3 linked regions of the Xenopus tropicalis genome follow. The protein of the gene in region 1 interacts with the protein of each later gene in a biochemical or structural test. Links are inferred from orthologs where the notes say so. Each region holds a gene or a part of one and is shown on either strand. Other genes may lie near its edges. The genes, in order: sh3rf1, ube2n and akt2.

Region 1 (4,170 bases):
CCCCCGAACCTTCTCCTGTGCTTTGGCGCGCATGCGCCGTTCGGGGGGGCGGAGAGGTGGGCGGAGTTGGCCGACCGTGTTGCCTAGGGCGCCCGGTCGGCTTGGCCCACCCCTGTTTACTACCACTATTTTTGGCGTATATCATTTTACAAAGCATTAAGATACCAACCCAATGTTGGACTGGCAGACTAGTGAGTTTATGAGAACTGTTTATGCAGGCACTCAAGGCTTTGGCACAATTGCACGTAACCTATGACACTAGTGTAATTCCCCACTTATATTACAGTGTCACCCACAGTAACCTGCATCACTTAATTCCCTCCTATTTGTGTCTGTAAGTTACCCTGCCATTTAGATTGTAAGCTCTATTGGGCAGGTACCACCATCCTCTTGTCTCTTTCATTTGCCCTGTGAAATCTTAAATGCAACTCTACTTTTTATTTGCATTCATTATTATACTTTGTATTTATGTATCTATTATTTTAATGACCCCGTTTATTAATTTATTGCTCTGCTGTACAGTGCTGCGTACATAAGTAGAGCTATATAAATAAAAATATACACACATACATCCCGCAGTTAAAGTTCCCAGCAAAACCCTGAAAACATTAGAAATTTGGTAAGATCTTTTACTATGTGATCTAACTTCCACTACAGAACCAAGCTTTTTTACCTGCTAACCCACAGAGAAATTATTGCACTATACCAAAACCTTCACACATAATAATATATATATATATAGTTCTTTTCTTTTACTCTGGGCTCAAAGAAAACAAACAGTCAGTACGGTTGTGCACATAAAACGTGCTTACTCAGTGCTGCCTCAGGCCATTTACATGCTCTTGCACTAATACACTAACACCCTTTGCTTTCACCGGCACTCACACTTATAGTTATTTGTATGTAACTGGCATGTTTGATATATACACTTGTTTATTGTACCGCGCAGTGGAATATGTTGATGCTATGAATACAGTGTTAATCTCAATCAATACCAATGCCTGTACTGGTTATAATATGGGTACCAGACGAGAGGAAACCACAACCCTTCTAACAGAAGGACTAGATAAATTCATTTAGCTATCTGTTTCTATGGAAACCAGTCACAGGAACAAAGATTCCTGTTGCCAGCCCTTCAGTGTGGAAGGAAAAGACCCTTCACCACAAAAGAAAGGACACAGAGTGTGGAGAGTGACAGAGAGACACAGTAAGGCACTCACAGATGTCCAAGTGCCAAAGAATCCAGGGTTTGTTTAGCACAGAGTTAAGGCTGGGGAAGCACAGGGGTTAATCCCTCCCATTAACCCAGCCTTGGTGTATGGGCAGTTTCACATGCTGCCTTTCCCTTTTGCTATGGTAATGCAGGGGAATGTGAGAGAGTGTTACCCAGGACACTTCCTGCTACATGTTTGGAGCATGAGTATAGTGAACGGGGTGGAGCCATTCCCACGTCTAGTGAAAATTCCATATCGCTTTCTCCTCTTCTCACCTGAAGCAATGAGATTAAAGTTTAATGAGCTCTGCCAGGGGATGATACTATGGCTCCCACTTCCTTCCTCGCAGCAGCAGTTGAGAAGGCAAATGATCCAGGGATCCTTGTTTATAGCTCTGTTTACTTATAAATGCTGTCAGTCACATTAAGGGGCATATTTATAAAGGTGTATAAAAAATCTTCTAAATCTAAAAATTACCAAATGTCTGCACATTAACACAAAGGTGCCATTACAACAAACACAGAACCTTACACCACTTTTGATACCACCAATTCCTTGCCACTAGATTTTGCCCCATTCACTTCAATGGGTTGCGACAGGGCTGAGGTGGAGTAAAATCATGGTGTAATTAGCAGTTAGGCTGGCAAAATACATGACACACCTTTATAAATATGCCGATTAGCTCTTTGTAATAGATTATGCCTAAAGGACATAATTCATGTGTAAGCACAGTGGAGGAAATATACCAGTTATTTGACACCAACTTTTAAACTATATCATAGGTGTAAAGTGTCTTACAGAGCTTTATAAATGTGCCCAATATATTATGTACCTGGTAGGTCCAACTGGAGCTCCTCCATGTATTGATAAACTACAGCTTCCAGGATACCATTTCAGCCTCTGGCTCAAGGGGAATGCTGGGAGCTGCAGTACAACAACAGCTGTGAGGAATCAGCTTGGGCATGCTGGATAATAAAAATGAAGCATAGCATTGGCACCCAGTACAGTTGGTATAATATTAGGACTGCTCCCAATATTATACAAACTGTACTGGGTGTCAGTGCTATGCAAGGGAAGTCCAAACTGCAGCCCTCCAGCAGTCAGGGGATGAGGGCAGATAACAGTGCCACATTCGCTGGAGGGCAGCTTCAAGCAATCTCTGTTACTGTGTAATTACATGATTAGAAGAGAAACAGGTCCTGCAGGACTGCTCCTCTGAACCCCAGACCACCCCAGTTAGTGAGAGCAGGCAGTGACACCCACCCCCATTCCAAAGTAGACCCATCAGCCTTGCTAACATTACACTCCCCTTGTCTTGCCAAAGTGCGAGCAGGCACCAGGCTGCCAGGAGCCAGCACTGACCTGCAGAGGAAGCCCAGGGCTCGGCACTGACCTGCAGAGGAAGCCCAGGGCTCGGCACAGAGTTGCACAGGCTGCGCGATCACTTCTCTCCGGGGATTTCAAGAGCCGGGGGAAGACCTACAATCCAAAGAACAGACTATGGGGATCCACTGAGCCCCTCGGTGTCTCCTGTGCCTTTGTCCCTGCGGCAATATCACTGAGTGTGTGCCTGGGTCTCTCCCATGAACTCCCTCCTTCTCCTCCCTGCCATCCGACAGGAGCACGTCACGGCTATGGGAGGGGGAGCAGGGGGAGGAGATGGGCAGGGGCTCCGGCTGCCGCTGCTGAACGTGGAATGAGAGAGATGGGATGGTGGCTATGGAGCAATACTATGGGATATACCAACTGCGCTGACTGTGAGGGTATGGAGCATCATTCCATATGCGCCTCACGGAGCTCTTTCTGCTGCTAAGCCACGCATAATGGATGATCCAGCAGATCCAGATATACCTATATACTTATTATATACTAACAACCCCATGTGTTGTGTAGGCACTACAACATTACATATTTTAGTTTATGACACTGGGTTTATCGGTTTTGCCGAAATATTGTTTTTATCAGTTGCTGGAGCTTATTTAATAAGCCTGAAACTAAGGGAACAAACAATCTTCATTAAAACTCAATTTGTTTCCACACAATTGTGAACTGCTGATTTTGTCAACTCCTAACATCAATCTGTGGGGCATATTTATTATGCTGTGTAAAACCAATTTGTAGAAAAAATGATGTAAAAAGGTGTGTAAAATGGAGAAGATCACAGCCCGAACGCAAGGTTTTACGCCATTATTTTACGTAAGATCCAGCGGAAGAAAAAACTTGTAAAACAATTACGCCATTTTTACGCCGGTTTTTACACGGCAAAGCCTGGCGATGTGTGGCAAATTTACCCACCGATTTTTAGACAGCATAATAAATATGCCCCTGTGTGTGTACATGTGCCTGCAAAGTATCCCAGCTGTGCCTCAGCCTCATAGACAAAGCCCTAAGCCGGCTGGGCTGTTAGAAAGTGCCTGGCAATACAATACAGGCTCCTTCAGTTTGTAAGGATACCCGCCCTCCCTCCGGAGCAATCCCCATCTCACCTATGTGCTGCAGCAGCGCTAAAACTGGGTCAAATAAGCTATAGGATTCAGGGATGGGTTTTATGGTGACCTGGTTTCACCTGATCGGTCTCATAGGGCACCTCAAGCAGGAGGGTATTCACTGAACAGTATGATACTTTGGGCCTGTGTTACAAGCAGCAGCAGATAAAGGGAGCACTGTATTTTCTAATTGCACAGGGCACTAATTATAAAACAGTTTCCTTTTCTAAGCCATGATCTAATACACACACGATGAATCCTGCATACAGCAGAATGTGGAACACTCAGTGAACACACATAATATAGGATTTGAAGGGATACATCCACCCACTATACTAGTAGCTATCAGACTTTTTCCCTTAAAGGAATGCTTTAATGGGAAAACATTTTTTTTTTCAAAACATGTCAGTTAATAGAGCTTCTCCAGCAGAATCCTGCATTAAAAACAGTTTTTCAAAAACACAGATTTT
Region 2 (4,036 bases), on another chromosome or scaffold:
CTTTCCCACTGGCAATAAAATGAATCTTTGGTGGGAAAGCACACATGGCTTGAGCACTATCTGCAAGGAGTTAGTATGTTCCCAGAGAATGTACCCGCCTTCCAGCCCGCTTCAACATGGCACCCGCAGGGTGGTATTGGGCCTGTAATGATGTCTGATGTGTGTCACACCAAAAACATACAGGCAAGTTAATTGGTTACTCATTTTACTGACCATAATGTGATAGGGACCTTAGACTGTAAGGGCAGTGGCACACAGGGAGATTAGCCGCCTGCAGTTAAAGTCAGATCGCTGGTGGGAAAGCACACACGTCACTTTGTTTTCCAGTCATGCAATGTTTTCTGCACAAGAAACTTTGGCCAATGTAGTGCTGCATATTCCTTTCCACCAATAAGTCACTTTATTGCCAGTGGGAAAGCATTTTAGGGAGTAGGCAGTTAACTTATCTATATGTTTTTGGTGTGTGAGATGGAACTGGACTAGCCAGAGCTACTCCAGACACAGAAAGAACATACCAACTCCTTGCATGCTCAAACTGGTTTTGAATACAGGATCCCAGCACTGCAAGGCAGTCCACTAAGCCACCATGAATTAAGCTTTTGTTGATGCTGGGGTTTCTGCAAAATGTGTAAACAATTTCTGATAGACTGGCTCTATACACTATTACCCCGACTTCTATTCAAGTAGAGTCTTATATTCTGTTACCAAAAGAATCAAAACATTTGCTACCTGCCTAACATTACATTCAGAGGGTGTTAATATGAAGTTGCTTTTTTTTCTGCTAATATAATAGTGAAGTCATATGGTTTTATTCAAGGTGTCCTACTTTCAGGCCTTATAGCATAGTCTGACTCCAGTTTCATTTCTTGTCTCGCCAGCTGTATGGGGTGGGGTGAAGCTGAAACCTCATCATGCTAACACGACTGTTCGTTTCTTACGTCTTGTTGGTTTTCAATGTCTTCTATGCTCGCTACAGGCAGTGCATAGAAGACATACTGAAACACTTAAGCATTGTTCCTTGGGCTAAAATGAACATTCTGACTACACACACCAACAAGCGTGATTACATCATTATACATGAGAGGAATAACGAGTCCCGTTACAACTACATCTCCCATGAGCCTGTGGGCTGTCGCAATGACGTCAGCGGAAGCGGATGCCGCGCTCTCACTTGTGCGTGACAGGGGGATCCGGTGGCACGCAGAGAGTTGGAGGCTGCACGCATTATAAGACAGGATGGCCGGGCTGCCTCGCAGGATAATCAAGGTAATTGGCGGCTTGTAGCTAGTGAAGTAGTAGCGATTGCTTTACGTTATGTCTTGGGCTTAGATCAGCGGCATTGATCCGAATGAATGGAGACAAGGCCCGGGAATGTCCCCGCCCTCCAGCCCGCTTCAACATGGCACCCGCCGGGTGGTACTGGGCCTGTAGTGATGTCTGATGGGGTTGAGGGTCCGGGGTCGCTATGTGTGCGCGCCTTGTATAGGAAACCACCCCAACGGGGATATGGGGACAACGTTATTTTTTGTGCTTGAAGTAAAACCTTGTGCCGACCACACCCACGCCATTTGCTTGTAGTCTGTTAGCGTTAAGGCTACATAAGGGTACAGATATGGGGGGGGGGGTATATAGGAATGAGTTACACTGTAGCACATAGGGTGACTCCCCCAGACACTGCATGCCATTACTAATACGTGTGCTTAGTGTTTAGGAGCTATATCGCATTTTACTGCATCAATTGACGGCAGAGGTGTCGGCAGTAGACCATTTTATATATAGGTAGGCTATTGATTAGTAAGGAGGGTATATTTCATCTTGGCTCACTATTTATTGCACCTCATTTAGTTAAATTGGGAGCCAAATAGTTCTGCTTGTCACTGTACCCCAATGTATTCTACATTTTTACATGGCTGTTGGTTGAGCCATGCTAAGGGGGATTTTACCCTTACTAAATACTAGCGCAGAGCTGCTTCTAGGTAAGTGTTACGTTTTTCTGGGGTATCCAGGTGACTTTGGAACAACTCACGAACCACTAATTAATTTAGGATCCTTTAAGCACCATATTATAATTCGTAATTACTGTTCTTCAGTGGCGTTTTCGGTCAGGTAAAGGTTATGGAGACCCAACCTAAGTAGCGTGGACGGGGATTCATTGTGGTTCCCCAACACCTAGATTAAGAATTCTTATTCTAGGTAAACTACTTAATGACACACAGAGCTACTAGTTGCAGCCACAAAGTACCAGAAAATACCCTTCTATAGATAATACTGAGAATTGTCTCTGCTGAAACACATATTGAGAATATTTACTGTTGTCTATTTTGTAGCCACAACAAGTAGCTCCATCTGTCAATGCTCTAAAGAGGCAACCAGGTTCCCTCTTTTGTGGTGTCTCTGCGTAATGTGCAGTCTCTCAGAAGACCTGTTCTTGTCCCAGCAGCTTGTGATAGGTTATATTTTGCCACAGGATTCACTATTAGCTTTTCAGAACTTCAGCCACAACATTTATTTGTGGAACGCATGGCATATACTTTATTCTGAAGTTGCATCATCCCTTTAAGTCAAATAAAGATACAGTTGAATGTCATATGATGTGAGGCACTGAAGGAAGCAGATATCTGTCCTTTAAATCTTCATGCTAAATGGTTGGGTAACTTAGGTTGATAGTATTGCCATTTACAGTGGTTGGGAAATTGGCCTATGAATATCAATATTGGACTAGGTACTGTGCTGAAGCCCAGATTTTACTTAAATTCTAATTAAATATTTTAAATGTTCATTTTTTGGGATGTCTGCCTCTGCTAAGCTCTATCTGCTTCACTTTTTTATGTGAATCAGTGACAACCATCTTCTATATTGTCAGCAGTGTTTCCACATTTCCTGTCTAAATTATATCATATATTATGCAAGATACTTTTAACCAGTATTTGAACCTTTTTTCCAACCTCACATGTATAATTAAATATTTTTGCTGGACTTCTTACATACATCTGATATACAAAGAAAACATTTCGCAAAATACACGGATGAAATGGAAGAAGTTTGTGGCTGGATGTGATGAGATTGAAAAATATAGCACACTCTTGCTTTCAATATAGTAGCTATTTAAGTGCATCGCTGTAACACATGCAGAAAAACTGGCATATAAACCATGCACCAAAGTGGTATATGTAGTTTAATTCAGCAGGAACAGATCACCAGCACTTCCTGTCATGATTCCAGCTTACACCACTTTAATTTCTAAAGCTAATTGCTGGCAACCTGTCAAAATGCTGCACTGAGTGCTGGGAGAGAGATGTTGGTGATGGTGTAGACAGCATCACTAAATAAAATCAAACGGTTAAAATCATTTGGCTTAAAAAGCCCTTAGATGTTTTGTTTTAATGCATATTATCATTTAATGCATATTTGTTGTAAAAGTTTTTGGTTTGTTTTGCTGTTGCAGTTAAAATGAAACCGTATTTTACATGTAAAATATTTATTTGAAGCTACACAGCAAATCTGAATCTCACTATGGCTTCCTTGGAGTATTTCTAACATACATAAGATAACATGCAGTGAAATAATGTGCCATCAATTGGGTGTTGACCCTTGGCAACAATATAGATATTGCCTGCATGCATTTTATTTTCCATTCAACGTTTATAAATTGTCTAATGCAATTATCATGATCTTCTGATATGTCTAACATAAGAAAGCTTCAGTTTTCTTATTAGCGAATCAAGTGGAAAGTCTGGTTTGATCTTGTCAAGGATCCATGTTTGTTCCTTGCTATCTGTGGTATTCTCAAAAGTTATTACTAACTCGAGTTCAAAGGCATCAGTACATTTACTGGCCTGCTTCTTTATTTTTCAGTTTTATTCACTATTACATACCATTTTTTCATGATATTTCTTGTCCTGATTTCTATTTCAGTTTATAGCTAGTTCACATGATTTTGCTCTTTTTTTTTTAGTTACCCTACCTGCCTACTGAAGATCTTTCCCACAACCATTCCTTATGGGAAAGATTAAGCCTTTTACTGTGTTGAATATTT
Region 3 (4,331 bases), on another chromosome or scaffold:
GGACTACTAAGTAGCTAATTATACCTCTTATTTGCACCCTGCGAACTTTTTCCATGCTTTTGTTGCTCCCCAACACTTTTTCCATTTGAATGTGGCTCATGGGTATAAAAGGTTGGGGATCCCTGCCATACACGTTCAGGTTTTAGTCTTCTTCCAAAAAACGTTAGGATATCTGTCATACATTTAAATGAAACTATCTAAAACTAACATTTGAGACTCAAACTGTAAGATAAAGCCCTAAAAATAACAAATCGGAGGATGTTCTGAACACAAGATAGTTGGCAGACACCAGTCGTATGAAGGAGACTGTAGGTCCCCCAAAGATATAGTCAGATACACAATACATACACAGATATTATCACTATCCGACCCAAATGTTCTAACCTGCCCAGTCAACTAAAGGTCCCCATACACGAGGCGATTTCACTCGTTGTGCGACGAACGATTATATCGACAAACGATCGTATGGTGATTGGGTTTCCATACGATATGCCATCCACGGCCAACGATAATTTGCAAAAGATTTCATCGTATCATCATCGTAAAGTACGTATGATCGTACATCTACGTACGATCCAATGTCGTGGCGGAAATGGTATTTATTTATTTATGTTTGTTGACTTCCGCTGCTGGCAATCATGACATGCGCAGAAAACAATCGTTCGAAGACAAATGTCTGACACTCACACCAACTGGCAGATTTTATCGTTAAACGACTAAAATTTTTAAACCTGGCCGATCGATTTTGGGGACGATAATGTCGGGTCGATTAGTGGGCCGACGATCGTTTGCACACCATCAACTATACGATAACTTAACGATAGTATCGGATCGTTCGGGAATCAGTCGTTTGACAGTAAAAAATTGGCCCATGTATGGGGGCCTTTAATGCTGCGGTTAAGAAAATTATCGGGATGATAATTCTGAGCCTACTCACGGTCCAAAAACCGTACAAAACCGATCTTATTGGGGCATGGCCAGTTTTAGAGACTACTTTTGGCTAACTTCGCCCATTTTCTTCCCCCCTTGTTTGCACAAAAAGACTATAAAAAATACAATTTCACTTGGTACAAGTTTGCACAAAAATTGTTTTCCTGTTTTGTCAAATTCGGAGAAGAGCCTCTGCTGCCAGCAGGCACCCTTTGCAATCAGGAAAAAGTGTTCTTTTAGTCCCCTGGCATAACTTCTAAGGAAACTGGGATCTCAGGTGGCAAGGGGCACGGCGGGAAACCAACACAAAACAAGTTTTTTTTTTTTTTTTGTTCTTTAACAGAAGTAGGAGGTGCGAGCAGAGGAAAAACAAATTGTGAGTAGAACTACAGCGTCTCAGCAGCAGCTCCTACTGTATGAATTACGCCGACTCGTCACTCCCACAAGTAGGCTATAGTGCGTCACTGCGCTTACGTCTCTGCGCCAGTCTCGCGTGATGAGAGCTGCGGTGTTGGGGCTGTAGGAGAAAGAACTTGCAGGCACCCTAGCAACCGCCCTCCCTTCCGAAGTAGGCAGCTCTGTGACAGCAGGGAACCCGATAATCCAAGTAAGTGCAGCATAGCCCCTTCCCCCTTAAGACCCGAAACCCACCGGGGCCGGGACGTCTGTTCCCCATGCCCCCCCCCCTTGATGGCGGCCCTGAGAGTGGTTGCCGTGCCAGGGCTACACAGAAAGCAACAGCAGGCCATTCCAGGTAAGTTGAAGTGGGCCAGCACCAAAATGATATCTTTTGAGCTACCTACTTAAATATTTCTTTTACTGGTACCATACAGCATTGTCTGGGGTATTCATCCCACTCTTTGAGCAGCTGTTTGCTTGCATGTACACTGAGTGGTGCAGCCATTTGTAGATCAATGTGTCTGGTTAAAGGATGGTGTGCTTACTTTATGCGTTTTATGAATTCATTTTATAACGTTTCCACGAAAGAGTGTAAACTATAAAACGTTTGGATCTCTCCAGTACTGAATCCTACTAGCCTGACTTTGTACTGTGTTAGAGAATGTTCTCAGTGATACAATGGAAACATTTCATTTATTTTTTAGGTAATCACACTGTTTTTGACATTGGACTGTGCTTGTTTAACAACAAATAGAGAATGTAGCCAAAATATGTGTTGTTTTCTAAGTCCAATATAGGTCAGTATAAAAGTTTAGAGCTAGAACAGAAGATGCAGCATGGAATTGATAGGGTGCTAATTTGGCTTAATGGTCAACTTACTGCTTAATTACTGAATTAGAAAACCACTATTTTCCATGGTATTTCTTGTAGAACAGGGGAAAGCTATTGGGTATCAAGCTGGCAATATCATTTGGCATATAGAAATCTCATTTCAGAATAATCTGTACTATTGTTTTCCAGATTTCGCCCTTTAAAAACAGTATAGCAAGCACTCAAATCAAGCTTATGCAGAGGCTTCTTCACCTGAGAAGATATACTAAAAGCATATTGTTCTTCCCATTGAACTTTCCACCCTGGCGGGTGCAAAAGAATATTGCCTACCTCACCTAACGTAATAGAAAACATGTCTTACAGGTGCTGATAGGACTGTGCGCTTATGCAAATTCAGTATGTAGTGTATTTGCAGAAGTGCAGAATCCTACCAGTGCCTGTGAAAAGTATTATTATAGTGGACAAGGCTGGGGGAAGCTTTAAGACGCATCAGAACTGGACAAAAACTGCTAGGGGGGAAACTGAATTATTAGGCTGCTGTTTATACACAAATGAAAGTAATGTTGTAATGACGGGCTGCTGCAAGTAACTATATACCAGTGCTTAGTTTAATTACTTTAGCATCTGTTAGTGATAATATGCAGCCTATATTTACACAAAAATAGAAATTAATTCCAGGGACTCCAATTCAACCTGTGTACATATGTACATTGCTTAGTATACAAATGAGTTGTTTGTACCAGACTTTTGTCAGAATATGTAACTTCTCCCTCATTGTATAATATTAAGTTGACCCACTCTTTTCTGCTATAACTTTCCACTAGAAGTTGGAGCAAAGTTGGTGGGGTTTGCTTCCATTCAGCTGCAAGAGAGAAATAGCAAGTTACATCCCACAGAAGTTTTTGTGTTGAGGCCAGAGTTGTGTGCAGGCCAGTCAAGTTCTGTAACCATGAAAAAAGGCCCAGACCATTATATCTTGTCAACAAAATTTTACAATTGCCATTATGTATTCAAAGTGGTAGTGTTCTCCTGACTTATGCCATACAGACTTGTTCATCAAACTGCCAGATGGTATTTCATCACTTTAGAGACTGCCCCATGGTGGTGACCTTAACACCACCCAAGCCAACACTTTACAGTATTTGACTTGTGTGCAACTGCTTGCCCATAAAATACCCAGAGACATTTTAAAATCTGACATTTGACATGTTTCTTCTACTTTCTGCAAGCCCAGAATTATTGCAATAGTAATTTCATAGTTACATACCCAACTTAGGATAGTGTAATGTCAATGTCTTTTTGGTCCTTTAGACAATCTTACCTTAATTTTAATTGTTTTTCTTTATCTCATCTCGGGGATTTATTAAAAAATCATCACAATAGGAATCAGGCACTGGTTATGGCATTTTCTTTTTCTAGATTACTGTCAATAAATTCTGTCAGGCCAGGCTTAAACCTCAACAACTTGACACTTCTCATTCTTCATATTTTAAAGGAAAAGGAAAGGCTAAGTCACTTGGGGGTGCCAAAATATTAGGCATCCCAAGTGACTTTAATCGCTTACCTTGTAGCTTGGGGTTGGTGCCCCTGTTAGGAGAAAACAGCACCAGCCCGGGGTACCTGTAGCGAGCGCTTCCTGCTTCGTTTTGCCAGGACCCCATGACCGGTGCATGCGCAGTAGAGTGAAAAGCCGACTTCTCTGGTAAAGTTCGGCTTTTTCACTCTACTGTGCATGCGCACAGGAAGGAGGAAGCGCCCCAGGTACCCTGGGCTGGTGCTGTTCTCTCCGAACAGGGGCACCAGCCCGGGGTAAAAGGTAGGCAATTTAAGTCACTCGGGGTTGCCCAACTTTTTTGGCACCCCCAAGTGACTTTCCCTTTCCTTGTCCTTTAAGGTCTTCTGCAAGATTCAGTTCAATGACAATTAAAATATCAGAATTGTAGACTTCACTATGGATATTATGCACCCAGGGTAGGTTTTACAATTGCGCAGTTTTGGCCACCAGTTGATGCTGTTTATGCTGTTATCGGTGTTATTTTATTTTTATTATAATTTTATACATAATGCTGACATATTCTGCAGACCTTTACAGAGATGATACATCAGTGTGACCCTCTCAGGGAACAACTAAGAGTTGCTGTAAGCTCCAGCAAATCTACAGGTATGCAAGT

What was found.
Region 2: the proteins of sh3rf1 (region 1) and ube2n form a complex in vitro, tested with the Homo sapiens proteins (2 studies listed by BioGRID). The link is inferred for Xenopus tropicalis from reciprocal best matches to the Homo sapiens genes SH3RF1 and UBE2N.
Region 3: the proteins of sh3rf1 (region 1) and akt2 form a complex in vitro, tested with the Homo sapiens proteins (2 studies listed by BioGRID and IntAct, with this or other methods). The link is inferred for Xenopus tropicalis from reciprocal best matches to the Homo sapiens genes SH3RF1 and AKT2.

Annotation. Positions count from the first base shown.
Region 1 is NC_030677.2:50,108,854-50,113,023, reverse strand, and holds the start of sh3rf1 (E3 ubiquitin-protein ligase SH3RF1), read right to left. Parts: upstream 2,809-4,170; 5' UTR 2,577-2,808; intron 1-2,576. UniProt on the Homo sapiens protein: Has E3 ubiquitin-protein ligase activity. In the absence of an external substrate, it can catalyze self-ubiquitination. Stimulates ubiquitination of potassium channel KCNJ1, enhancing it's dynamin-dependent and clathrin-independent endocytosis.
Region 2 is NC_030679.2:56,096,450-56,100,485, reverse strand, and holds the start of ube2n (ubiquitin-conjugating enzyme E2 N), read left to right. Parts: upstream 1-1,218; 5' UTR 1,219-1,236; coding exon 1,237-1,266; intron 1,267-4,036. UniProt on the Homo sapiens protein: The UBE2V1-UBE2N and UBE2V2-UBE2N heterodimers catalyze the synthesis of non-canonical 'Lys-63'-linked polyubiquitin chains. This type of polyubiquitination does not lead to protein degradation by the proteasome.
Region 3 is NC_030684.2:77,753,526-77,757,856, reverse strand, and holds the start of akt2 (RAC-beta serine/threonine-protein kinase), read left to right. Parts: upstream 1-1,526; 5' UTR 1,527-1,537; intron 1,538-1,584; exon of another isoform or gene 1,585-1,684; intron 1,685-4,331. UniProt on the Homo sapiens protein: Serine/threonine kinase closely related to AKT1 and AKT3. All 3 enzymes, AKT1, AKT2 and AKT3, are collectively known as AKT kinase.